Cricetulus griseus: one gene and its partners. The protein of the gene in region 1 interacts with the protein of each later gene in a biochemical or structural test. Links are inferred from orthologs where the notes say so. Each region holds a gene or a part of one and is shown in the gene's direction. Other genes may lie near its edges. The genes, in order: Dlg4, Pkp4, Net1, Sipa1l1, beta-1 adrenergic receptor, Kcna4 and Tanc1.

The links.
Region 2: the proteins of Dlg4 (region 1) and Pkp4 interact in a test that uses a peptide from one of them, tested with the Homo sapiens proteins (2 studies listed by IntAct, with this or other methods). The link is inferred for Cricetulus griseus from reciprocal best matches to the Homo sapiens genes DLG4 and PKP4.
Region 3: the proteins of Dlg4 (region 1) and Net1 interact in a biophysical measurement, tested with the Homo sapiens proteins (2 studies listed by IntAct, with this or other methods). The link is inferred for Cricetulus griseus from reciprocal best matches to the Homo sapiens genes DLG4 and NET1.
Region 4: the proteins of Dlg4 (region 1) and Sipa1l1 form a complex in vitro, tested with the Homo sapiens proteins (2 studies listed by BioGRID and IntAct, with this or other methods). The link is inferred for Cricetulus griseus from reciprocal best matches to the Homo sapiens genes DLG4 and SIPA1L1.
Region 5: the proteins of Dlg4 (region 1) and beta-1 adrenergic receptor form a complex in vitro, tested with the Homo sapiens proteins (2 studies listed by BioGRID and IntAct, with this or other methods). The link is inferred for Cricetulus griseus from reciprocal best matches to the Homo sapiens genes DLG4 and ADRB1.
Region 6: the proteins of Dlg4 (region 1) and Kcna4 form a complex in vitro, tested with the Homo sapiens proteins (8 studies listed by BioGRID and IntAct, with this or other methods). The link is inferred for Cricetulus griseus from reciprocal best matches to the Homo sapiens genes DLG4 and KCNA4.
Region 7: the proteins of Dlg4 (region 1) and Tanc1 interact in a test that uses a peptide from one of them, tested with the Homo sapiens proteins (2 studies listed by IntAct, with this or other methods). The link is inferred for Cricetulus griseus from reciprocal best matches to the Homo sapiens genes DLG4 and TANC1.

The regions. Positions count from the first base shown.
Region 1 is NC_048600.1:83,889,557-83,893,728, forward strand, and holds the end of Dlg4 (disks large homolog 4), read left to right. Parts: intron 1-69; coding exon 70-97; intron 98-231; coding exon 232-279; intron 280-355; coding exon 356-457; intron 458-762; coding exon 763-935; intron 936-1,832; coding exon 1,833-1,942; intron 1,943-2,452; coding exon 2,453-2,544; intron 2,545-2,740; coding exon 2,741-2,847; 3' UTR 2,848-3,672; downstream 3,673-4,172. UniProt on the Homo sapiens protein: Postsynaptic scaffolding protein that plays a critical role in synaptogenesis and synaptic plasticity by providing a platform for the postsynaptic clustering of crucial synaptic proteins.
Region 2 is NC_048599.1:115,574,902-115,578,401, reverse strand, and holds part of Pkp4 (plakophilin-4), read left to right. Parts: intron 1-2,304; coding exon 2,305-2,488; intron 2,489-3,500. UniProt on the Homo sapiens protein: Plays a role as a regulator of Rho activity during cytokinesis. May play a role in junctional plaques.
Region 3 is NC_048596.1:228,910,487-228,913,058, reverse strand, and holds the end of Net1 (neuroepithelial cell-transforming gene 1 protein), read left to right. Parts: intron 1-172; coding exon 173-573; 3' UTR 574-2,072; downstream 2,073-2,572. UniProt on the Homo sapiens protein: Acts as a guanine nucleotide exchange factor (GEF) for RhoA GTPase. May be involved in activation of the SAPK/JNK pathway Stimulates genotoxic stress-induced RHOB activity in breast cancer cells leading to their cell death.
Region 4 is NC_048598.1:121,315,936-121,319,435, reverse strand, and holds part of Sipa1l1 (signal-induced proliferation-associated 1-like protein 1), read left to right. Parts: intron 1-3,034; coding exon 3,035-3,500.
Region 5 is NC_048596.1:4,713,453-4,716,801, reverse strand, and holds beta-1 adrenergic receptor, read left to right. Parts: upstream 1-1,448; coding exon 1,449-2,849; downstream 2,850-3,349. UniProt on the Homo sapiens protein: Beta-adrenergic receptors mediate the catecholamine-induced activation of adenylate cyclase through the action of G proteins. This receptor binds epinephrine and norepinephrine with approximately equal affinity.
Region 6 is NC_048599.1:70,439,945-70,443,847, reverse strand, and holds Kcna4 (potassium voltage-gated channel subfamily A member 4), read left to right. Parts: upstream 1-1,438; coding exon 1,439-3,403; downstream 3,404-3,903. UniProt on the Homo sapiens protein: Voltage-gated potassium channel that mediates transmembrane potassium transport in excitable membranes. Forms tetrameric potassium-selective channels through which potassium ions pass in accordance with their electrochemical gradient.
Region 7 is NC_048599.1:115,043,385-115,046,884, reverse strand, and holds part of Tanc1 (protein TANC1), read left to right. Parts: intron 1-435; coding exon 436-611; intron 612-1,769; coding exon 1,770-1,902; intron 1,903-3,500. UniProt on the Homo sapiens protein: May be a scaffold component in the postsynaptic density.

The DNA.
Region 1 (4,172 bases):
GTGGTGAAGTGGTGGGGGTGGTTTCTGAGCTAAATTCTGAACCTACCATAAGATTGGTTTTTCTTCTAGGACTGGGGCTCCAGCTCTGGATCACAGGGTAGGTAGGGAAACTGGAAAAGCTGTGGGATGAGTGGAACGTGGAGTTTCCCTTGACATTCTCGGGAAAGCAGGCCAGGTGGTCTCCAGGTCCCCTGTCTTGGAGCCCGTTGCAGATGCCCTGTCTCCTACTAGGTCGAGAAGACTCGGTTCTGAGCTATGAGACAGTGACGCAGATGGAAGGTGAGCCCTAGCCCCAGCCTCAGCTGTCCTGCCCGCCCACTCTGCTTGCTGCCTAAGCCCGGCTCTTTCTTCTCAGTGCACTATGCTCGCCCCATCATTATCCTTGGGCCCACCAAAGACCGTGCCAATGATGACCTTCTCTCCGAGTTCCCCGACAAGTTTGGATCCTGTGTCCCTCGTGAGTACGATGGCCTTGCATAGAGATGGAGTTGGAGTTGGGGGGCCCAAGGAGTCTTACTTAGTCGGGGCCATGGTACTTGAGTACAGTGGGACACAGATTGCCCAGTTTTCCAGCAGGCAAGGCTGGGTCCGGGTCTGGGAGGCCCCTGGGTGGCAAATTCTGTCTTGCCTTAGTCTCAATGTCCCCAGCAGCATCCTACCAAGGACCATCCGGGTACTCCGGTGGCTGGGGGGTTGGTTGATGTAGGCTAGTATTAAGGGATGGTGGTTAGATCTTTGTCGGGTGGGATGACTTCTTGGCAGATACGACGCGTCCCAAGCGGGAATATGAGATAGATGGCCGGGATTACCACTTTGTCTCCTCCCGGGAGAAAATGGAGAAGGACATTCAGGCGCACAAATTCATTGAGGCTGGCCAGTACAACAGCCACCTCTACGGGACCAGTGTCCAGTCTGTGCGAGAGGTAGCAGAGCAGGTGAGAGCTGGTGGGCACTGCATCCTCTTCCTCCTGCCCCTCCCTACCCCACCACCTCCCTCCAGCTCTCTCTAACTCTCTCTCTCTCTGTCTCTTTCCCTGCTGGGTCTGCACTCCGCTCCTCCACCTCCTTCTCCTCTCGGGCAACTCTGACCGCCTGCTCTTTTGTGGCCTGCTCCCCTTGCTTCCTGACCCCACGCTCCGCACTGCCATCTGTCCCGTCTCTCCTCTGCTTCCCACTCCTTGCCCCATCTCTCCTGTCTTCCTGGGGCTTTGCCTTTGGTGGCTTGGCCTTCCCCAACTTGTTCCCTCCTTTCTTCCCGACTCCCCTCTGCTCATTTCTCCCTCCTATAATGGGGGGTCTCCACTACCCTTTCTCTCACCCCTCCTTTAACTCCTTTTCCCTACTACTCCCCACCCTGCCTTCCCTCCCTCTGTGGTTCTTTCCTCCATCTGCCTCCCCTCCCTCCCATCTGTCTCTCCCATTCCTTCCATCTGTCTGTCCTCTGTCTGTCCTCCTCTCCCTCCTCCCTCTATCCTAATTCTTTCACTGCCTTTCCGTACCTGCCCTGGTCTGCCTTGTGCATACCACCTGACTTGCCCCCCTTGCCCTTGCTCTTCCTTCATCTTTTGGGTCCTCTCTGTCTTCTACACTCTGTTCCGTCCCTTCTCTGCCCTCTTGTGTGCTTGGCTTCTGCATCTTCCATTTCTTTTTCCTCTGTGTTGGTCACTCTGTCCACACCTCTTTCTGTTCTGTTGCTTACATGTCCTTTGACATCTGTCACTTGCCCTTTGGCCAACCTCCTGCCCCCCCTTTTCTATATTCTGTGTTTCTTCCTGGCACCTCTGTCTGTCCTTCCCTGCTACCTGCTGGTCCCTCCCCCACCCCGCCCCCAGGGAAAGCACTGTATCCTGGATGTGTCGGCCAATGCCGTGCGGCGGCTGCAGGCGGCCCACCTGCACCCAATCGCCATCTTCATCCGTCCCCGTTCCCTGGAGAATGTGCTGTGAGTACGGTCCTGGGGGCTTCCCCTCTGCTCCCTACACTTGTGATCACGGGCTCTCCAGGCCCCTACATTGATCTGCCCTCTCAGAACCTTGGACAGCAATTCCCACTGAGCTCAGAGAGCTGGACTGAGGTTGAGAGCCAGGACTGGAAGCAATGGCAGGCCTCTCCCCACTTCTCCTGCCTCGGGCCAGGCAGCACTCACTACAGTTCTCAGTAGCCCCCTGGGGCATACACAGGCTGGGGCAAATCGGAACCTCAGAGGCAGTTGGAAGTTGGAGTCTGGATCCCTTCTGTGGGGCTAAAGGCTGGAAGGATTGCTTCCAGAGAGGTTCTGGATTGGGTGGGTTTCCGGAGCTCATTTGTAGCCAGCCCCAGAGGATATCAGAAATTATGTTGTTTGCTTTGTGCTCCGACTAAGGAAAAGAAGTAACTTAGCATGCCAGGATGGAGGAGGTAAAGATGCGGAGAGGGGCCCACCCCTCAGATCTGCATCTCTCCCTCTTGACAGAGAGATCAATAAGCGGATCACAGAGGAGCAAGCCCGGAAAGCCTTTGACAGAGCCACTAAACTGGAGCAGGAGTTCACAGAGTGCTTCTCAGGTGAGAGGCCACCCACTTCCCTGTGTGCCGTGAGTGCAGGCAGTCTGCTGAGATGCGGTGTGGGAAGAGGTATCCTGCCTGTGGGCGAGGGACCAGGGCTTCTGGCTGAAGGAGTGGAAGGTGCTCCTTGCTCTGGGCTCCTTGGTCATGTGTCCTTGGGACCTTGGCCTCACTCCCTGCTCCACCCCACTGGCAGCCATCGTGGAGGGCGACAGCTTTGAGGAGATCTACCACAAAGTGAAGCGCGTCATTGAAGACCTCTCAGGCCCCTACATCTGGGTCCCAGCCCGAGAGAGACTGTGATTCCTGCCCTGGCTTGGCCTGGACTCGCCCTGCCTCCATCACCTGGGCCCTTGGTCTGGACTGAATAGCCCAGCCCCCCTTCCCACCCTTCTTATTTATTTCCTTTCTAACTGGATCTAGCCCATTGGAGGGGGGACACTCCTCTGCATGTATCCCTGTACCCCAAAACAGGGCTCTTGGACCCTGGGAACCTGGGGCCTGGGGGGCGCTGGGCTCCTGGTTCTGAGCCCCTGCTCCTTAGGACCCCTACCCCTGCCGCCCCCATGCACACACAGACCCACTGGGGGCCTCTGCCCTCCCCATTTTCTCCCACATACATTCCAGAAGTCAGGGCCCCTCTCAAGGAGTACCCGCTGTGGGGATGCAGGGCCACAGGCTTCCACGTTCTCCTGAGGCAGGGGCTGGGGTCACCCCTGCCCCATCATCACTCCCCATGTCATTTGATTTCTCATTTATTTTCTCCAGTTTTCTTCTCAAAGGTGGTTTTTGGGGGGGAGAAGTAAGGGACTCTGCTGTGGGTTCCCTGTCTTCCACATGCCTCCCACCTTTTTCTTTGCCGGTTTGCATGAGTGGAAGGTCTAACTGTGGCTTTTTTTTTTTTATTTCTGGGATTTTTTCTCTTTTTTTTCTTTTCTTTTTTTTGGGGGAAAGGGGAGGGATGGGTCTAGGGAGTGGGGACTATGGGAGGGGGTGGGGGGCGAGGGGTCAGGGGTTGGGTGTCTGGGAGCCAGGGGAAGACAGGAAATGCTGCCGCCTTCTGCAATTTATTTATTTATTTATTTTCTTTTGAGAGAGTGAAAGGAAGAGACAGATACTTGAAACCCAGTGTGTGGCCTGGTTCTTTGGGGTGAGGGAGGGCAGTGGAGAGACACAGGTGGGGGCCTGGGATGGGGGCATGTCAGAGAACCTCAGATCCCTCCTTACCTCACCGAGAATAGAATGCTTACAAGAGTCCTGGGAAGGAGTGATCAAGCCAGGGCAGCAGAGATGGTAATGAACAGGCCTGGGAATTGCTGGAGCTGTGCCGGTCACCATCAGACTTGTCATTGATTCTGAGAACTCAGTTTGTCCCTGACCATTCCTGGCCTCATCCCTGTGGTCAGCACATTTATTCCTAAAAGTACGAGGCTCCTTGACTACAGTAGTCTGGAATTAACCAATGTACAGAGTCATGTACAGAACGTAAAAACTTCATATACCTCACTCGCTGAACTTAGGGCTCGGCTCCATCTTAGAGGGCTCAGAGCGTGGCCATAGATGGGCAAAGTCTGTTGTGTTATAAAGTGCTGAGCAGCTCTCGTGTTGGCCTGCAGGCAGAGGTGTGC
Region 2 (3,500 bases), on another chromosome or scaffold:
CGTCATTGTCCATCTGTCCTACCCCCACTCCCCACCCCCATAGATAGTGAGTGGCAAACTGTACATCTGATTTCATACTTACAGCCTCTGATATGATGGCTGTTGCTTTGCATAAACTGTGCCTTGTAGTTAACTTGACTAGACTGCATTTATTCTGTGAAGAAGGAAGTAGCTTATTGGAAAACGAAGCTGTCCCAGGATTTGTACTTTGTGAAATGAGGAATGTGAAAGGCTTTGACAGAAAGAGAATTGCAGCAGTCATGTTAGGAATCACATGCTCCAAGATTGTCAGCGGGGATGGTTTCTGGGTAATACCATTTTCCCCATCAATAGCCAGGGAGCTGTGTGCTGCCACTGTGGCTGGCTCGTGTTCCTGGGTAGTCACAACTAGCACTCTGGGTTCGGTATGATGATTTCATTAACAGGGACTGTTAAAGCCTTTACCCCACCCTGCTATGCCTCAAGCCACTCTTCTGTCTCCTTCCTTTTCTCTTGTTCCTTGGTCAGCACAGACCAACCAAGAACTGACTCTCAGTTCTTATCTATCATTGTCTTCTAATGATTCTCCCTAAGAAAATGTCCAGCTAATGTCTTACATGGGAAAAGAAATACAGTGAAGGCCACTATGGAGCAAAGATAAATGTGATCATTCATATTCAGAGTCAGTTCTTTCCCAGCTATGACAATCTGGCCAAACCCCCGCCCCCAGACCCCAACCACTGCCCCAAAACACTCCATAGAGAAGTAACTCTGACAGTGGAATTGAGTTTCTATTCCTAAGCACCCATGCACATCTGTGCAGATTTCTCAGTACAACCTTGTGTCTGTATGCCTTGATACAGTTATGTATGTGAACAAAGGTCATAGTGAGAAGAATCAGCTTTCAGAAACAAAGCAAGGCATTTATCTTCCAGATTCTGAATTGTCTAAATCTCCCTTTTATACCAAACCACCCTTCTTAAAGGAGAACTAGCCAGGATCCAACTAAATGGGCACCATGCAAGATAAAGTTCTGAGAGACTGTGCTCAGAATGAAGTCTTTGGGGAAGGTAGGAGGAGAAACCAAATTAATGAGGTCAAGAAATCAAAGAGGAGAGGAGTAGGCACAGAGGCAGAGCAAAACACACACAGCATCAGTCTCCATTATTGACCACATCTTTATAGCATAGGGATTGCAGCGAAGGCAGCCCTTGGGCATACATTCGGGGTCTGTTCTTTACTCTTCTGCTGTCCTTTGCTTTCTCCTCTCCTCCCACAGAGACAAAAGCTGCTGTCTGCTTGCTACCTCCCCTCGTAATTTACATCCAGAGAAGGCTGCTCAGGCTGGCTCCAGGCTGGCTCCTTGGGTCACAGCATTTGGAGCAGCAGTGTTCAGTCTTGTCTGGCCCAGTGCTTGATGAGTTCTGTTCAGAGGCCCATAGACAAAGGCAGACATTGTCAGTCCCTTCTCTCCACAGGCCCACAAGTGTCCAGTGCTGACGGTTCTGTGAAGCCTTTGGAGAAGCTTGTCACAAGCATCAGGAGTGTGGGGCCCTGAGAGACTTCTGGGCAAAACAAGCCACCTCTCAGATTCGTTCCCATTTTTCTATGAATCATAAGGAGTTATGGCAGTGCATTAGCACACTTCATTTATTACTTTCTCCTATATGAAAAAGGGAATGGCAGTACTTGCACTTCTCAATCACATGGCAATAAAACTCTTTAAAGAGGAGAATGAGGCAAATACAATGACCCTTCATGCTCCTGGTTACTGTAGGATGCTATACTACACTGTATTTCCAGGAACTCTGTTAAAGCTGGGCTTCCCACTAACGAAGTGAAAATTGAAAAAAAAAAAAATACTAGAAAGGAGGCTTAATGAGAAATATGCCAATCTTTTGGGGAAAAGAAATTTTGTCTAAGTCATAAATTCTGGAAGCTTGTCATATCAGCCATTGAGTGTAAGGGACAATGCAAGACAAGCAAGCTCTATGAAGCTCACAGGCATGTTGTATTTATGACCCTTGTACTTGGGTTACTTCCCTGTGTCACCCTCCCCCTGGGAATAGTTACTTTGCCCACAGTTGCCTAATAGATGAATGGGGCTCTAAAATTGGAAAGCTGAGTCTTGAGACTTTGAAATACGCTGTAAAAGCCAGCATGTGTGTGTCCAGCACTTAGCACAGGTCCATCCCAGGTCAGTGGCAAATGTGGAGCATAGATGTGGGAAGCAGGTTGGGCTCCCGGAGGTTAGAGCTCCTGTGATTGTTTCAGTCTTAAAGCTGCAGAATCTGATCATTTTTACTTGAAATTTCTCTTTTTTAGGAGTTCTTTGGAATTTATCGTCATGCGATGCTGTAAAGATGACAATCATTCGAGATGCTCTCTCAACCTTAACGAACACTGTGATCGTTCCACATTCTGGGTGGAATAACTCTTCCTTTGATGATGATCATAAAATTAAGTTTCAGACCTCGCTGGTTCTGCGGAACACGACAGGTTGCCTGAGGTGAGTACTTTCTTCCCAATTAGTTACGTGATTAAAGAATGTGTGTCATAAGTAAATCGGCTATAGACGGTGCTGCTCTCTGGCTACACATCCAGAAAGTGATGGTTCTCCTTCATAGCAAAGTGTGGAATTTGTCACTGTGTGAGGAAACACAGTGAGCACAGGCTGGTGGCCCAAGGCAACTGTCTCACATGTGACTCTTCTGTGAATTATTTTAGAAGGTCTGTTAGTCTGAGGGCACTGCAGCAATCCAGCATTTTCTACTGTAGTTGCCTTTTTTCTGACTATTACAGACTTATTACAGACCTGGTATGGCCTGGTTTTTGTTTCAGTTCCAATTATGGTCACTGAAGTTCAGGTTTGTTTTGTTACTTTTAAAGAGAAGTGGAGTTGTGTGGCTTAAACAGCTATTGCTTTTGAGTTCTATAAATAAGCGAGCCCAAATGCTGTTCATTAGTCATTACCTTTAACATAAAATCTGTGATTCTTTTATGTTTTCAGAACAGCTCCTTGTTTGCTTAGCCACTTACATGTGGCCCTGTTCCCCAGCCTCCTGTTGCTCTAGGCACATGAAACAGAAGCCTTGGCAGAATGGCAGGGGGACCTGCAGAGCCCAGCTTTCCTGTTCCACTGTGAGCTTTAGTGTTCATCTACAAAATAGAGGTGATAGTACTGTAGGGCACAGGGCCCTGAGTTCAAGTCCCAACCCTGAAAGGAATAGCAAAAATAAAACATCTAAGCACCTCTGGGGCAGAGAGTTGGAGCCACAGGGAGAGGACCTGTGCTACTCTTCCAAAGCCTTCTGCACTGTGACAGAAGGCACTTGTGTCACTGGTCCTGGGTGGGATATTTAGCCTGTGGTCATCAGGAAACAGCATTCCATCCCCCACCCTAGATCCAGGGATGTGTGATCCGCCCCCACCGCACCCCCCCCCCACTCCTCAACCCCTTAGGCAGTGAGTACCCACATCAGGGTACAGCATTGGCTGGCTCTTGCACGACCTGCTGTAAT
Region 3 (2,572 bases), on another chromosome or scaffold:
AATTTTAAGAATAAAACCATTCCCCAGTCATGGATTGCCACAAAAGGGAGTTGATAGGGACCTCTGGCTAGTGACTGTCTTTAAGAGAGTGTGTATGTCACTTAAGTACTAGAACTTTCCTTAAGACTGTATGAGCACGTTCTTAGTCTTGATTCCTTTTTTCTTCCTTCAGCTAAAAATATCTTTAGAGTCCGCTTCCAAGACCCCTCTCCAGGCCAGTCCCACACACTGCAAGCCAATGACGTGTTCCATAAGCAGCAGTGGTTCAACTGTATTCGTACTGCCATTGCCCCTTTCCAGCGGGCTGCCAGCCCCCTAGAGCTGCAGGGCTTACCAGAGCTCCACGAAGAGTGTGAGAACAACCCCAGTGCTGGGAATCTCCCAGCCCAGCGAAGGTCATCCATGGCTCCCGGGTTTACACAGGGAGATGATGAAAGTGCACTGGAATGTGGCTCCAGTGTACAGACAGCAGAAGACACCAAGAGCATGAAGGCACATCGAGTGCAGCCTGGCTTACGAAGAGCAAGGGACAAAGCCCAGTCAGGTGGCAACAGGAAAGAGACTCTGGTGTAAATGTGTTCTCTGGTGGAAGGCTGTTTATTTATAAATTTGTACAGTTTTTATTTTTCTTGTAATGGGAGCATCCTAGGGTTACTCTGTACCAGCTGTAATGTGTTCATGGTTTGGGTTTCTCTCTCTCTCTTTCTCTTCCTCCTCCCTCCCCCCCTTGTTATTGTTGTCGTCGTCATTGTTGTTAATGGCAGCTAAAGATATACAGATTACTGTTAAATTGCAGACTTTAAAGAGGTATTTTCATAGACTATTTGGAACATACCCACCTGGTATTTTTTATCAGAAGGAATATGTGTGAAACCAGCGTTGTCCTGACTGGGTTCACCATGACTTTCCAATTCCAAACAAATGTGATATTTGCAGTATTTCCCAAACTTAAAGTTTTGTTAATGCTGAAATTCTATCAGTGTTCCTTGTTAAACCTCAAATGATGAATGAAATTTTAATAATGACATCTACAATCTACATGGAAGATTTTTGAGTTTGAAATACTTCAATTTACAGTGAAGCACCACTTCATTGGAAAACAACCATAAAACTCAGTGTGTTTTCCATTTTTATCAACTGGAATGCCTTAGATCAGTTTTTCACTGCACATTCCTCATTTTTCATTCATTTATTCTGCCAACTATTTAATTTTTTATTGTAAAGTAGTTTTTAGAATTTTCTTTTATTTTTTTACGTTGATGCCTTTTTTAAATTGGCATGTCCTTAAAGTTTTTCTTCCTGATTTTGTGTGTGTGTGTGTGTGTGTGTGTGTGTGTGTGTGTGTGTATGTGTGTGTTAATCGTATTAGTTTTACTAAGTGAAACCAAGCCATACTGTTGAGCCAATTAAGAAAACTGCAGTTTTTACAGTGTATCATGTCAGGGTAGTGAAGACCCATGAGATGACTTAGTATATTCTAGACTACTGGAAGAAACCACATGAAGGACTTTGGTGAAAGTTTTTGTGTTGTCTAGAAAGCAAGAGAGAAGGCAGGAGACTGGAATAGTGAAGAGAAGGGAAGGGAAAAGGGAGTTTGTCTAAGGTAAAAATGTCTGGTTGATCCAGAGGAGTGGAGACAGGAAAGCCTGACTTGAGGGTATGTAGGAAGTTGTAGAAGGCCAGAGGGGGTGGGAACTATATTTGCTTTGGTTTCTCATGCCTGCAAATACTGAATTTGAAAAGAAACCGTAAAATGTGTTGGAAATTTGAACATATTAGGTTAATTCTGATTGGTTTTCTTCATTAAAAAAAATGAAGCTGGTGATTCTTCACTCCAAAATGTTTGTGTTAGAAATGGGGTCATGCTCTTTAAAGGAGGGAGGAGGACTGAGATCCCGTGTCAGCCCAGATTTATACTGGCCATCAGTTCAAGTCATTGTTACCCATCGTGTGAAATATATCTCCAGTGAAAATGAAAATTGGAAAAGGCTGTAAATAGATCAATCAAGTGATTTCTTTGTATAAATGAATTATACAATTAAAAAAAAGCACACACATAATAACCCAAAACATTTCTTGCCTGGTTGATATTGGAGGGGAGGAGGGCATCCACTGGAACATGAGGGTTTAGCTTATGTTAATATCTGTCCTCTTGCATTGCTTTTTAGCTGCTTAGCTGCTTCCGGTGAGTTCTCTTACTATAAGGATGATCCCTTCCTAGGTGCTCAGCACTCTGTCAGGATATGTGAACACAAAGTGGTAATGAAAACCAGTTATCCAGCAGCAGTTGTAATCACAGCATCACCAGGTCACCCAGCAATCAATTAAAAGACATTTTATTGACCTGATGGGTGTTGGGTAATTTCTGGGCTACCTAAGTCTGTTTTGTGTTTAATGTTTTGAGAATGCAGATCCAACACAATACTTATTTTCAGATGTTAAGCTAAGATGATAGCTTAGCCTACAAACCTATTGTCCCTTTGTCCAGAGAACCTAGTTCCCATAAGAGTAATATACTAGAATATGAATCTCCCAAGATCTGGAAGAAGCTAGAATTTCTGAATACAGATTT
Region 4 (3,500 bases), on another chromosome or scaffold:
TGGTCCAGATCAAGTAGATAAAGCCTGCTGGAGGTCTCTTAGGCCCAGCGATCTGTGTAGACGGTCCCATTTAGCAGGTACCAAAGAGAGAAAAGGGTAAGTTTGGAGTCCTTTCCTGGAGGTGAGGGTGGAGTGGGCAGGGGTCTGTCGTTAATGCTCAGAGCTTGACTTCAGCCCTGACACTCTTCACCTGCAGTGTATGATCATTGTGGTTTTCTGCAAAATGATAGATTTGTGCCCCCTGTACCTGGAGATACATTTTGGGTCTCCCTGTTGTTTCCAAGGACTTTGGAGAGTATATCCATAGACTAAAATGAACACACATTTCCCTTGTAAAATTGAAGTCCAGTTTGAGGTGAAGCTCACCATTTTATGGAAGTCTGAGTGAGAGCCTCTGTAAAGTCCCCTTTAGTGCTGACCTTCCCTAACTGCTTCAGTCTCTAAGCTCATCTTGGCCTCTCACCCACCTGGGTGGCAAGTCCCATCTCTCCATGCTGCCAGGTGAGCAGGCTTGAAAAGGGTAGATCATTGCCAAGATGCAGCACTGTAAGTAAGTGTGGCTGACAAGAGATCCTGTGGAACCCACCTTTAAAAGAGCAAGAACCATTTGTAGGTAATCTTAGCTACCTATATTTAGAAATTCTAGACAAACTTCTTTTTGAATTGAGGCAAGTGTTCTAATTAGCTTAAATGAGGCCTTACTATAGTGAGTTTAGCATCTATGGTATCTGTGTCGTGAGCTTTTTAACCTTGTAGGACAGGGCTGTGAAAGTTAGTGCGTCTAAGACAAAGCCATTTGAAAGGTGCCTTCTAGGCTACCATCTTCTTCACCGCCTTCTTGAGGATTCTGTTTCTAATATTGCAGACCTGATTACTGTCTATATCACTTACTCCCATCTGTGGTGAATCACGGATAATTACACAGTAAAGACTTGGTTCTCTCTCTCACAGTTCGCTCTAGAAGCTTCTAATTAGTGGTGGGTTGCCAGAGTGTGTTTGTCTAAAGTTCTGTCGCTTAATAAATAGATCTATATTCTCTTGTGGGCTTAGGGCAAGTAGACGTGCTCACGATCACACCCCTGCTGAGCGTGTGCACCTCCTTAGTTAAATAAAAGCACAGCTGTTTCCTGAGGAAGAATGCTCTGAGTGAAATTAGCAAGAACAGAAATTGCCAATTTTAAAATGAAAGATATTAAACATTTCTGGATCCTCACCAGATTCCTTGTAGAAAATCTACCAAACCTGGATTTCAGCATTTTCTGCTCGGCTTCAGGGCTGAAGGGGGGTTGGGGGGTGGAGGCAAACATGATCAAATTAAAATTACACAGCTGTCAGTGTTCAAGCCAGACAGTTCACATTGACAAGAAAAACTGCCTTTGTAATAGTGTGTAATTAGATCCCAGTGCATGCACAGGGGAGTCTGAGGCTTCACTTCTGCAGTTAGAACACGGGTATTGGCTGACACCTCCCTTTGCCGTAAGGTGAGACTGCTGGTGGTGTTTTTTGTTTGTTTGTTTGTTTTTAAATATAAACTTGTAAAAATCATAATGTATCCCATCCGAGGTGTCTCCTGACAGTGTAGCTTTGCCATTCCACCAAACTATAATTTCTAAGTATAAAATCTTCACTTGTAGGTTTATTTATCCCATTTCTATAAGATACAGAAATTTTTCTGAAAGCAGCTGAATATCCGAAAGTGAGGCTCCCCATCCCACTTGAGGGAGGCTGAGACAGAGTCTCATTCTGTAGCTGTTGTGAAACTCACTGTGTCTCTCAGGATAGCCTGAGTTCTGGGGTTATAGGTGTGACTCTGACGAGACTTTAAAGTAAAGAAAATGAAGTAGAATTCTTCAGTTCACTTTGAAAGCACACTCTCAGGTATATCCTTTCTTTTGACAATTCTGAGGAAACATTTTACAGTGCAGTGCCATGGCTGACTCACTTTTAAGTCACCGAGAGAGGGATCATCAATCACTTTTAGCCCTGGCTGAGGGCACCATGTGATCTTGAGAACTGATGTGTGACATACAGCCTCTCTATTTCTACCCAGCTTCTCTTGTTTCAGGAAATTTTAATATCTTTCTTTTTGAGATTAAAATTAGAAGATCAGCATAGGTGTTTATGGCCATTTTTCATGAGCCTAATTTTTAGCTCTGTGTATGCAAAGGGAGTGATGGGAATAAGCTTTTTAAGGTCAGTCTGACTTAAAGAAACAGGGAAAGGGAAATGAGTTCCTTAAGAATCACAGACGGAAAGCAGAACATTTGGGTCAAAGAATAGCTCAATTGAAAACAGGATTTTCAAGTACTGTGGCAATTCTCTAAAAATCACAGTTACTATTAATGGTTTTATTTTAAAGTTATGCTGTTAATCTGGTCTCATGATGCCTCACACATGGGCCAACAGATACTGTTAGCTTTATTATTAGAAATGGAGATGAGAAATCACTCATTTCTCATGCCATGTATCTTCTGACTTTTCCCTGGTGAGCTGTGTCTTGCCTGCAGCCTTCTTGTCTAAAGTGGAGGACACATTTGTGTTCTGACAGACTTTCTGTCTGAAAGGTTGTGTGATTATGACATCCTCCACTGGAATTAGTCTGTAGGTATTTAAAGTAGCTTTTATTCTCTTATGTGGAACATTACAGTAAGCCACCTGCCCCACGATGACATTGTAGCTAGTCTCCCATCTGCTAAAGAAGTGAGGTTTTAACTTTCAAGCTTTTAGACAGAAAGGGTCTGCCTGGAAAGAAACCTGAATTCTCTAAAGCCTGAATGAAAAAGTTCACTCGTTAAGCAGACCTTTGTGTTCTTTCTTGTACAAAATGAGCAGTTGTTTTGCCTTTCCCAGTGCTTCTCCCTTCCCTTTAGCACTGGGGATCAAACCCAGAGTCTTGCATGCACATGCTACACTGGTGCTTTCCTGCCGAGCTACACCCCCAGCCCTTTGTCACAGCACATTTTATTCCCTTGTTGTAATAGAAGACAGACATACTGACACACACTCCATCTTTGTTCCCTGCTTTGTCTCTCAGCGTGGCCGTCACCAGGTCCAGAGATGTGCCTTCTTTTGGACCTCCCATCCCTAAAGGGGTCACTTTCCCCAAGTCAAATGTGTTCAGGGACTTCCTTTTGGCCAAAGTGATTAATGCAGAAAATGCTGCTCATAAGTCAGAAAAATTCCGGGCCATGGCAACAAGGACCCGCCAGGAATATCTGAAAGATCTGGCAGAAAAGAATGTCACCAACACACCTATCGACCCTTCTGGCAAATTTCCATTCATTTCTCTGGCATCCAAGAAGAAGGAAAAGTCTAAGCCTTATCCAGGAGCTGAGCTCAGTAGTATGGGGGCCATTGTGTGGGCAGTCCGGGCCAAAGACTACAACAAGGCCATGGAATTCGACTGCCTCCTCGGGATCTCCAATGAGTTCATCGTCCTCATTGATCAAGAAACAAGGAGTGTGGCTTTCAATTGTTCCTGCAGAGATGTGATAGGGTGG
Region 5 (3,349 bases), on another chromosome or scaffold:
CAACCAAAAGGAATAGCTCCTTGTGTTGACTCAGCTCGGATTATAAAACCCAATGGGCGCGACAGAGCACAAATGCAGGTGTCAAGGTGTTAAAATCAGAGCCAAAAACTCTGAAGCGTCATTCGGTGTGTCCTTTCTACGCGGGGTGGCGGCGGTGGTGTCATCTACTCTAGACTGCATGTTGCAAACTTCTCCTTCATACTCGGCACACACCGTGGCGTCATTCTCCTTGGCTGGGGTTGGGAGGTGTGTGTGTGTATGTGTGCGTGTGTGCGTGTGCGCGTGTGCGCGTGTGCGCGTGTGCGCGTGTGCGCGTGTGCGCGTGTGCGCGTGTGCGCGTGTGCGCGCGCGTGCGTGCGTGTGTGTGTGTGTGTGTGTGTGTGTGTGTGTGTGTGTGTGTGTGTGTGTGTCCAACTGGTCCCTGGCGTTGACTGTTAACACCCAGAAACCTTCACTTCCTTTCTCCATTGACTGGGCTTGAGTGACAGCACAGCTCTGAGCGAGAACAGCCAGAGAGCCTTTCTGACAGATGCGCGCTCTGCTCCAGCAACCGGCCTGGCTGGAAACTTTCCTCTAACCACGAACACCCACTTCCCATTCCCCCCAAGCTGTCAGGCTGGCCGGGTCCCCTCTCGAGCAGGGAAGGGCCAGGCTGCCTGATGGCAGAACCAGTCTCACAGCTAAACTCCTCCAACCCCAGCAGACAGGCTGTTCAAGGCACTGGGCGTCTTGAGAACGCCAACAAGATTCCCTCCTCGCTGCAGGGAACTCGGCAGAGGAGGCAGAGCGGCGCGGGAGCTGCGGGGCGCCGGTGGGAAGGAGGAGAGCTAGGGCGGGAGCCGCGCCGCGCCGAGGGAAAAAGAGAGCTGGTGCTGGGGCGAGCGGGGACCCCCTGGAGGGGGCGGGGACGCAGCAGACCCGACTCCGGTAGAAGCCTGCCGGAGCCGGAAAGGGCGCGCTCGCTGCAGCCGGTGGGTGCCGGGGAGATGCTGGCTCCGCAGTCCGCCCGGAATCTTTGGAGCGGCTCAATCGCGGGTAGGAGGGGGTGCCGGGTGTTGGGGGGTGGGGGCACCGTTGTCGGGGGCGTGCCTTGGCGGCGATTGGCTGCGGGAGCTTGACGCGCGGCCCCGGGGCTGGCTAGGGGGGTGGCAGCGGGGTGGGGTGTGGGGCCGGAGCTGTCGGCCCCGCGCGCTCAGAAACATGCTGAGGTCCCGGCGGCTCTTCCAGCAGCGGCAGCGGCTCCAGCAGCAGCGGCGGCGGCGGCGGCGGCGACAGCGCTCGGCTCCGGCGGAGAAGGCGCTCGGAGTCCATGCCTCCGGCCCCGAGCCGCGGCTGCCCTGACCTGGCCGCGACCTCCCGCGCGGGCCCCGCAGCCCCGGCTCCTGGGGTGTTCCCCAGCCGCGGCCCAGCCCCGCCACACCCCCCGCCCCCGGCCTCCGCAGCTCGGCATGGGCGCGGGGGCGCTCGCCCTGGGCGCCTCCGAACCCTGCAACCTGTCGTCGGCCGCGCCGCTGCCCGACGGCGCGGCCACCGCGGCGCGCCTGCTGGTGCTCGCGTCGCCGCCCGCCTCGCTGCTGCCTCCCACCAGCGAGGGCTCAGCGCCGCTGTCGCAGCCGTGGACTGCGGGCATGGGCCTCCTGCTGGCGCTCATCGTGCTGCTCATCGTGGCGGGCAACGTGCTGGTGATCGTGGCCATCGCCAAGACCCCGCGGCTGCAGACGCTCACCAACCTCTTCATCATGTCCCTGGCCAGCGCCGACCTGGTCATGGGGCTGCTGGTGGTGCCTTTCGGGGCCACCATCGTGGTGTGGGGCCGCTGGGAGTACGGCTCCTTCTTCTGCGAGCTCTGGACTTCGGTGGACGTGCTGTGTGTGACGGCCAGCATCGAGACCCTGTGTGTCATCGCCCTGGACCGCTACCTCGCCATCACGTCGCCCTTCCGCTACCAGAGCCTGCTGACGCGCGCGCGAGCGCGGGCCCTCGTGTGCACGGTGTGGGCCATCTCGGCTCTGGTGTCCTTCCTGCCCATCCTCATGCACTGGTGGCGGGCCGAGAGCGACGAGGCACGCCGCTGCTACAACGACCCCAAGTGCTGCGATTTCGTCACCAACCGGGCCTACGCCATCGCCTCGTCCGTCGTCTCCTTCTACGTGCCCCTGTGCATCATGGCCTTCGTGTACCTGCGGGTGTTCCGCGAGGCCCAGAAGCAGGTGAAGAAGATCGACAGTTGCGAGCGCCGCTTCCTCGGCGGCCCCGCTCGGCCGCCCTCACCCGCGCCCTCGCCGTCGCCAGGGCCGCCGCGCCCCGCAGACTCGCTGGCCAACGGGCGCTCCAGCAAGCGGCGGCCGTCGCGCCTCGTGGCCCTGCGCGAGCAGAAGGCGCTCAAGACGCTGGGCATCATCATGGGTGTGTTCACGCTCTGCTGGCTGCCCTTCTTCCTGGCCAACGTGGTGAAGGCCTTCCACCGCGACCTGGTGCCCGATCGCCTCTTCGTCTTCTTTAACTGGCTGGGCTACGCCAACTCGGCCTTCAACCCCATCATCTACTGCCGCAGCCCCGACTTCCGCAAGGCCTTCCAGCGCCTGCTCTGCTGCGCGCGCCGGGCCGTCCGCAGACGCCGCGCATCCCACGGGGACCGGCCGCGCGCCTCGGGCTGCCTGGCGGGAGCTGGGCCGCCGCCGTCCCCTGGAGCTCCCTCGGACGACGACGAAGACGATGCGGGGATCACGGCACCCGCGCGCCTGCTGGAGCCCTGGGCTGGCTGCAACGGCGGGGTGACGACTGTGGACAGCGATTCGAGCCTGGACGAGCCGGGGCGCCGGGACTTCTCCTCGGAATCCAAGGTGTAGAGAGCCAGGCTCTCCCGGCGGGCGCACGGACGCCGGCCCCACGGTCCCGGCCTGGACACAGGCTCCGCGTCCCTAGAGGAAGAGAGCTTGCCGGGCGCCCCTGAGCCGCTCCGCAGAGGAGGGAGGAGACCTCTGTTTACTCAAGACCGAAAGCAGGTGAACTCACAGATGAATCTGAATCATCCCAGACGTACAGCAAAGCCCCGGACCGTCCGCAGCGCAAAAAGGGAAGTTTGGGAGGAGTTGGGAGAGTGTGGCTTTCTGATTTGTCTTGGGTTCCTTTCTCTCTGGGGTTCGGCCTTTTGTGTGTTCTCGTGATACACCTTTAGCTTTTGTTTTTTGTTTTGTTTTGTTTTCCAGATGGGTTTTGACATTTTCTGCAAGGACCGGAGTGGAAACTAGGTGGGGAGGGTAAAGGGGGAATGAAGTCTACCACCTGGCTTCCGGTTCCACATCTAGGAACCTAAGTAGTCAGCTCCAGTTTGGGGTGCTGGTGGGAG
Region 6 (3,903 bases), on another chromosome or scaffold:
ATACAGTTTAATGCTGTGTTATCCATAACTGTCATATTCATTGCCATTCATTATATGCAAGATAGTGTGCTATCCTAATAGCATCCATGATCTCAGTTGGTCCTTCCAAAGGTGGAGTGGAGGGAATGGATTCTCTTGTTTACACTTTATAGATGAGGTAACTGATGTTCATTCAAGTAGTTTGAATCTAAACTGAAGAAAATTGTTTTTTTAAGGGTGCTTAATTCAGCAACATTTTATGAGTGAAAAAATTGAAAGAGAATTCCTTGAGATAAATGAATAATGGAAACAGCTGTAAACTCACAGCATTGCTGTTGTGGAATGAAGAGGATGCTAGTGAGAATTAAAACCTGGCATTGGTGAAGGGGCAGAGAAAAGCAAGAACCATGTGGGTTGAGAATGGACAGAAGCAAATGAGTTGCCACAAAAAAAAAAAATAGACGGAGCTGAACTAATAAACAAAGAAGAAAGCAAGATGGATGTTGAGTGGGAGAGATTTTAGAGCAGCCTGCCCTGTGCTCTTGAAAAGTTATGGTCTCCTGGTGTGTGCCTCCCAATTGGCCTGAGGACAAGAGAAGCCGTGCGTGTAGAGTAAAGGGCTGTTTGCTCTCTATGCTTTGCTTCTTTTTATTTTTCTCCTGTGCTTGTTTCCCACCCCTCCTCAGGTGAAGTGCTTCTTCTGAATGAGTTAGCCAAAGAATGTTCTTCATTTCCTGATTTCTATGGAGACCTCAGAGCTGGATTTGCCTCTGCTGGAGCCTCATCTTCCACCCTCTCTGCCTTCCAAGGTCTTTGCCTCTATCTACCACTTGGCGTTGTCTGTGGGTCCATGAAGCCTTTGATGATCTTAGAGAGAGCCTGGGAAATCTTCCTCATAGACTGAGCAGCAATGGTTGGACATATTCTAAGGCACATCTTAACATGGGTCAAGCCAACACTACACGGCAAGTGCTAAGACTAAAGACTTATTTGCATTTTATTTAAATTGGATGGACTGGGTTTTGGACAATTTCCATGCAGAAAATTATATTTCATTTTCTAGGCACAACTTCTGGCTGTCAGATACTTGCTGCCTTTGAGTCTTGTAGCGTCATCACCCAGCGCATCCCAGACATACTTCCAGATTTGAACATCTACCCCAAAACACGTAGGTGTTTGGGAGACCGCAACATTTCATGACTTATGTTTGAGGAGCACTAGGCTGTTGTCTAGACTAGCCAAGCTCTGGAAAGCAACGCTGAATCTCTGAGAAGAAGGAGCATGGGGTGTGCTGATTTAAAAACAGAAAATGCAAAGTTGTACTGAAAATATCCTAAGTCTTCCAGGCAATCTGCTTAAGGCTTCCAAACTTACCTTAATTTGGTAAGAAAATAAGCTGCCCTATTTTTCTTTCTTCTTCTCTTACAACTGGAACTAGCCATTTCCCAAAACCACCACCATGGAGGTTGCAATGGTGAGTGCAGAGAGCTCAGGGTGCAACAGTCATATGCCTTATGGTTATGCCGCCCAGGCCCGGGCCCGTGAGCGGGAGAGACTTGCTCACTCCAGGGCAGCTGCAGCTGCTGCTGTGGCAGCTGCCACGGCTGCTGTGGAAGGTACTGGGGGTTCTGGTGGCGGTCCCCACCATCACCACCAGATGCGTGGGGCCTACTCCTCCCATGATCCTCAAGGTAGCCGAGGTAGTCGGAGGAGGAGGCGTCAGCGAACTGAAAAGAAGAAACTCCACCATCGGCAGAGCAGTTTTCCTCATTGCTCAGACCTGATGCCCAGTGGCTCTGAAGAGAAGATCCTGAGGGAGCTGAGTGAGGAAGAGGAAGACGAGGAGGAGGAAGAAGAGGAGGAAGAGGAGGGAAGGTTTTACTATAGTGAAGATGACCATGGGGATGGGTGTTCGTACACAGACCTGCTGCCACAGGATGATGGAGGTGGTGGTGGCTACAGTTCAGTCCGCTACAGTGACTGCTGTGAACGTGTGGTGATAAATGTGTCCGGTCTACGCTTTGAAACCCAAATGAAAACTTTGGCCCAGTTTCCAGAAACTCTGCTGGGAGACCCTGAGAAGAGGACTCAGTACTTCGACCCTTTGCGCAATGAGTATTTTTTTGATAGGAACCGACCCAGCTTTGACGCCATTTTATATTATTACCAGTCAGGAGGCCGTCTGAAGAGGCCAGTCAATGTGCCCTTTGATATCTTCACTGAGGAGGTGAAGTTCTATCAGTTGGGAGAGGAAGCCCTGCTCAAGTTCCGGGAGGATGAGGGCTTTGTGAGAGAAGAGGAGGACAGGGCTCTGCCAGAGAACGAATTTAAAAAACAGATTTGGCTTCTCTTTGAATATCCGGAGAGTTCTAGCCCTGCCAGGGGCATAGCCATTGTATCTGTCCTGGTCATCTTAATCTCCATTGTCATTTTTTGCCTGGAAACCTTGCCAGAGTTCCGGGATGATAGGGATCTCATCATGGCCCTGAGTGCAGGTGGGCACAGCAGGTTGTTGAATGACACATCGGCACCCCACCTGGACAACTCAGGGCACACAATATTCAATGACCCTTTCTTCATCGTGGAGACAGTGTGTATTGTGTGGTTTTCCTTTGAGTTCGTGGTTCGATGCTTTGCTTGTCCCAGCCAAGCTCTCTTCTTCAAAAACATCATGAACATCATTGATATCGTCTCCATTTTGCCTTACTTCATCACTCTGGGCACTGATCTGGCCCAGCAGCAAGGAGGTGGCAATGGTCAGCAGCAGCAGGCCATGTCCTTTGCCATCCTCAGGATCATTCGTCTAGTTCGAGTATTCCGGATCTTCAAACTCTCCAGACACTCCAAAGGCCTGCAGATCCTGGGCCACACCCTCAGAGCCAGCATGCGGGAACTGGGCCTTCTGATCTTTTTCCTCTTCATTGGGGTCATTCTCTTTTCCAGTGCTGTGTATTTTGCAGAGGCAGATGAACCCACTACCCATTTCCAAAGCATCCCGGATGCGTTTTGGTGGGCTGTGGTAACCATGACAACTGTGGGCTATGGGGACATGAAGCCCATCACAGTGGGAGGAAAGATTGTGGGGTCCCTGTGTGCCATTGCGGGTGTCTTAACCATTGCTTTGCCTGTGCCGGTGATTGTGTCTAACTTTAACTATTTCTACCACAGAGAGACTGAAAATGAGGAACAGACCCAGCTGACACAAAATGCAGTCAGTTGCCCATACCTCCCTTCTAATTTGCTCAAGAAATTTCGGAGTTCAACTTCTTCATCCCTAGGGGACAAGTCAGAGTATCTAGAGATGGAAGAAGGGGTCAAGGAATCTTTGTGTGGAAGGGAAGAGAAGTGTCAGGGAAAGGGGGATGATAGCGAGACAGATAAAAACAACTGTTCTAACGCAAAAGCGGTGGAGACCGATGTGTGAAGCGCTTTCTCCACCTGCCACTGCTCCCCACATCTCCAAATATATTCATGCATAGAGAGTGCAGTTATGAAAATGAAATATGCAAATGATTGCACTGCATACAGTAGTACACTGTTTAATGGTAATACACGGCATAATTGTGACTAAATTTGTATTGCATATCAAATAAATGATACATCTTGGAGAAGAGGGAGGCTTAAATAGAGCAGATTTATCTTTATATTTTTTAATAGAATGCAAGAATTTTGCACATAATGGGAAAAGATGTTAATAGTAAAGATGGTCCTGAGGAGTGTGTGTGTGTGTGTGTGTGTGTGTGTGTTAGAGTGTGTGTGTGTGTTAGAGTGTGTGTGCACACGGGTGTGTAAGTAAATTGTCAACATTGTTGGGAATTGTGCTGTGATTGGAAAAGTTGGCATTCTGAAGTATTTACTATGTAAGAACTGATGAATTTGAGCAGTCTTTTATCAGTGTTTTAATAACATCTCCTATGTCTTTGG
Region 7 (3,500 bases), on another chromosome or scaffold:
AGTAGAAAGTAGACAAAGGAAATTTACTCAGTGTGACCACACTGGGAGGAGGGACAAAAGGTTCTGCAGCCTCTTCAAGTCCATCTTTGGGGTCCTGAAGTGAAATCAGAGTTTCACTTAAAGGCCAAGGACATGAACATCTAATCAGTTCTCGTCAAGATGTGGTCTCACATGCCATTGGCCCATCATTGTCTGGGCTTCCATCTTGTCCTGTTAGCTGACCTAACAAGTTGTTAAAACTGGGAAATCTCTTTTTGGGAAATAAGTTCTCTCTCTGGCTGGTGCATTTTCCTTCTCTCAGTGTGAGATGCTTGGGGAAAATCTCATTCTTTGGGATCCATTTTTCAACAGTCTGATAGTGAGATTGGGAAACACAGTGTCTCTTTAGAACATCTTCATGTCTGCCAACCAGCTATAAATGGACTTTTCTCTCAGGTGCTGCTCTTTCTTCCCTGGACAAAGAGGGCCTGTCAGCATTGAGTTGGGCATGTCTGAAGGGTCACAGGGCTGTGGTCCAGTACCTAGTTGAAGAAGGAGCTGAGATAGATCAGACAGACAAAAATGGCCGCACTCCCTTGGACCTGGCTGCCTTCTATGGTGATGCAGAAACGGTGCGTACTAACAGATGTTCATTGCCGGTGTGTGGGCCTTTTCCTGTGTGCAGGATAGGGATGATGGAAAGAAGGGCCTGCTCTGATGTCTAGGCTCTGTGAAGCTGTCTTGATTGTGGCCTCTGTGTGTGTGCAATCTTTTCAATTGTCTATAACTCTGTTGTATGCAGTCCAATCTGAGACTGTTAGTCAAGGTTTTTATGCACTCTTCCAAGCCCAAAAGCCCTACCCCTACCAATTGTATATACACTGCAGACATGGAGTTGAACATGCATGCCTCTTTGTAGCTTTATTTTTATCATGTGCTTCATATAAATAAAATCCCTGCATAGGCCATTCAGAAACCACTTTCCCTGAAGAAAAATATTAATTAAACATATAGTTAATTTAGAATATACTAATTGTTTTAAGTTATAATTTTAATTTGTAAACTGAGAATTGGGAGATGTCTGCCAGGGCAGATGCCATGCTCTGTCAGGATGTACATTCCAAACCAGAGCATCATTGAGCTACTTGGGTCTCTTTTTATATTCTGGATAGTAACCTCTAGTGTCGTTTTGAATTCCCAGTAGATTGGTAGGAAATATGTCCAGTTGCATTCACACAACCATCTAAGCTGGACGTAAAGTAGTTTTTTTCTTAGCATTGCCTATGTTGAGTACATGCAGCTATTTCATCATGCCCAGCTGTTATACCGTGACCTCAGACACACCATCTTCACAGTCCTAACAGTGTCATCTCTTTCTTAAACCCTAAAGTGAATGATGCTGGCCCACCTGGCTCCAGGCTGCTCATGTCTGCAGCTTGTCCCCCCACACTGTGAATCTGTGTGTCTGGAGCACGCCTGAGCTCATTGCAGAAGCCTCCCTGCTAGTTGCAGGTGAAAAGGTGACCACGAGTCCTGTCTGTGGCCTTGTGAGTGGGGTCAGATACAGGTCATGTATTTCCGCTCACACCTGTCTGTACCCGTCGGCTTGCCTTCCTCATCACTGGTAGCAGAGTCACCTCAGCAGAGAGAGTCTAGCCATGGGCTTTAGCTCCCTCCTTTCCTTGGTGTCACATCGGTTTTCTTTCCATTTGACACTGCGTGACAGGAAGATCCGCCCTCCTTCAGCCAGGGACTGCTCCTCAAGTTTGTTCTGCCCCTGCTGCTTACAGGTGCTGTATCTGGTGGAGAAGGGAGCTGTGATCGAGCACGTGGACCACAGTGGGATGCGCCCCCTGGACAGAGCCATCGGTTGTCGGAACACCGCTGTGGTGGTTACGCTGCTTAGGAAAGGAGCCAAACTAGGTCAGTGAACCCCACTTCTGTCAGCAGGGCCAGAGATTAGGCTTCAGAGCCTTGCCTGTAAGGACTAAAGATTACCTGCTGGGCGGCTGGCAGTGTGTGCTCACTCTCTCTTTCTCTCTGCCTCCTGCTCTGCTCTGTCTTATGTCTCATTTAATCCCAGTCATCCAGAAAACTGAAGTTGCTTTTGATTTTCTTCTTAAAAAAAAAAAAAAAAATGACATTTTATTTGTGTGTGCCAATCCAAGCTGCACACAGAGGTCAGAGGGCAGTTGGTGGGAGTTAGTTCTTTCCTTCTACCAACCACATGGATCCCAGCGATTAAACTCAGGTCCCCAGCCTTGCAGGCAAATGCCTTCAACCATTGAGCCATCTTGCTGGCCTTTACCTTATAACATTCTCTCCAGGTAAGCAGAGAACAAAGGCTAAGTGGGAGAGGGACACTCACACCAGGAAGTATTAGCATCTTGTTTTTTTATTGCTGTGATGGGAACATGGCCAAGGAAACTCACAGAAGAAAGGGTTAATTGAGGAACTAGAGTTCCAAGGTTGACTCCATGACCATCGTGGTGGGGCGCATGGCAGTAGGCAGGTACTAGAGCAGTAGCTGAGAGCTCATGTCTGATCGACAAGCATGAGGCAGAGAGATAACTGGGAATGAAAATGGCTTTTGAAGCCTCAAAGCCCACCCTGTGACACATAACCTCCCATAAGACCACACCTCCTAATCCTTCCCAAACAGTTCCACCAACTGGTGCTCAACCACTCAAATGTATGAGCCTATGGAGGCCATTCTCATTCAAAAATTTAATCCCTGCAGTTAGGCTCTGCTTTAATTTCAGACGCACTGAGCATCCGAGGCATAGGAAAACCCAGGGTAGTTTCTGTAGAACGGCTGCTGTTCTAGAGTTATCAGTGACAGCTAGACAGAAAGTTAGGACCTCAGTGCACACAATTCCCCTGAAGGAGACATTGAGGAGGTCCTTGGAGCAGAGTGGGCAATTAGCTACAGGTTGTGTGGAGGCCCACATATGTGTCTAGTAGAGCATCACTTGCATTCAGCACGTATACAGGGAAGAACTATAGTGCCCCTGTCTTGGTTTGCTATTATGGAGGCTCTTTGACCGTGAGCAGTTCTGGGTACAAGGGGCTACATGGAAAACGGTTTTTCCCGGTATTAAGCAGTTTCCCTTTTTTATCTTGATCTTATATGTAGGTAGTGGCAATTCCATCTTTTTACTTGAAAAACAAACACAAAACACAGGGAGCTCAGTGGCCTCCCAAGGTGCTTGTGCAGTGACAGAGCTGCATGTGTGTGACAAGGCTATAACCTGTCTAGACCAAAAGAAAAGCTGGACAGGAATGGGAGAGGGGATGCAAGCTAGGTCCTCAGAGCCAGAGCGAACTAAGGTCAGAGTGCAGGGACCTTGGGGACAGCAGCCTCCCACCCCTGCCATATTGGGTGCTGCAGGGAGTGAGGAAGATACCTTTGAGGGCTTCATTGCTTTTACTTGACCCCTTCTTGGGGGAAGGCAAGCATTTGAGATACCATTGTTAGTAGAGCAATAAGGATTTGTGGGCATTGATGAATAAGCTTTTGT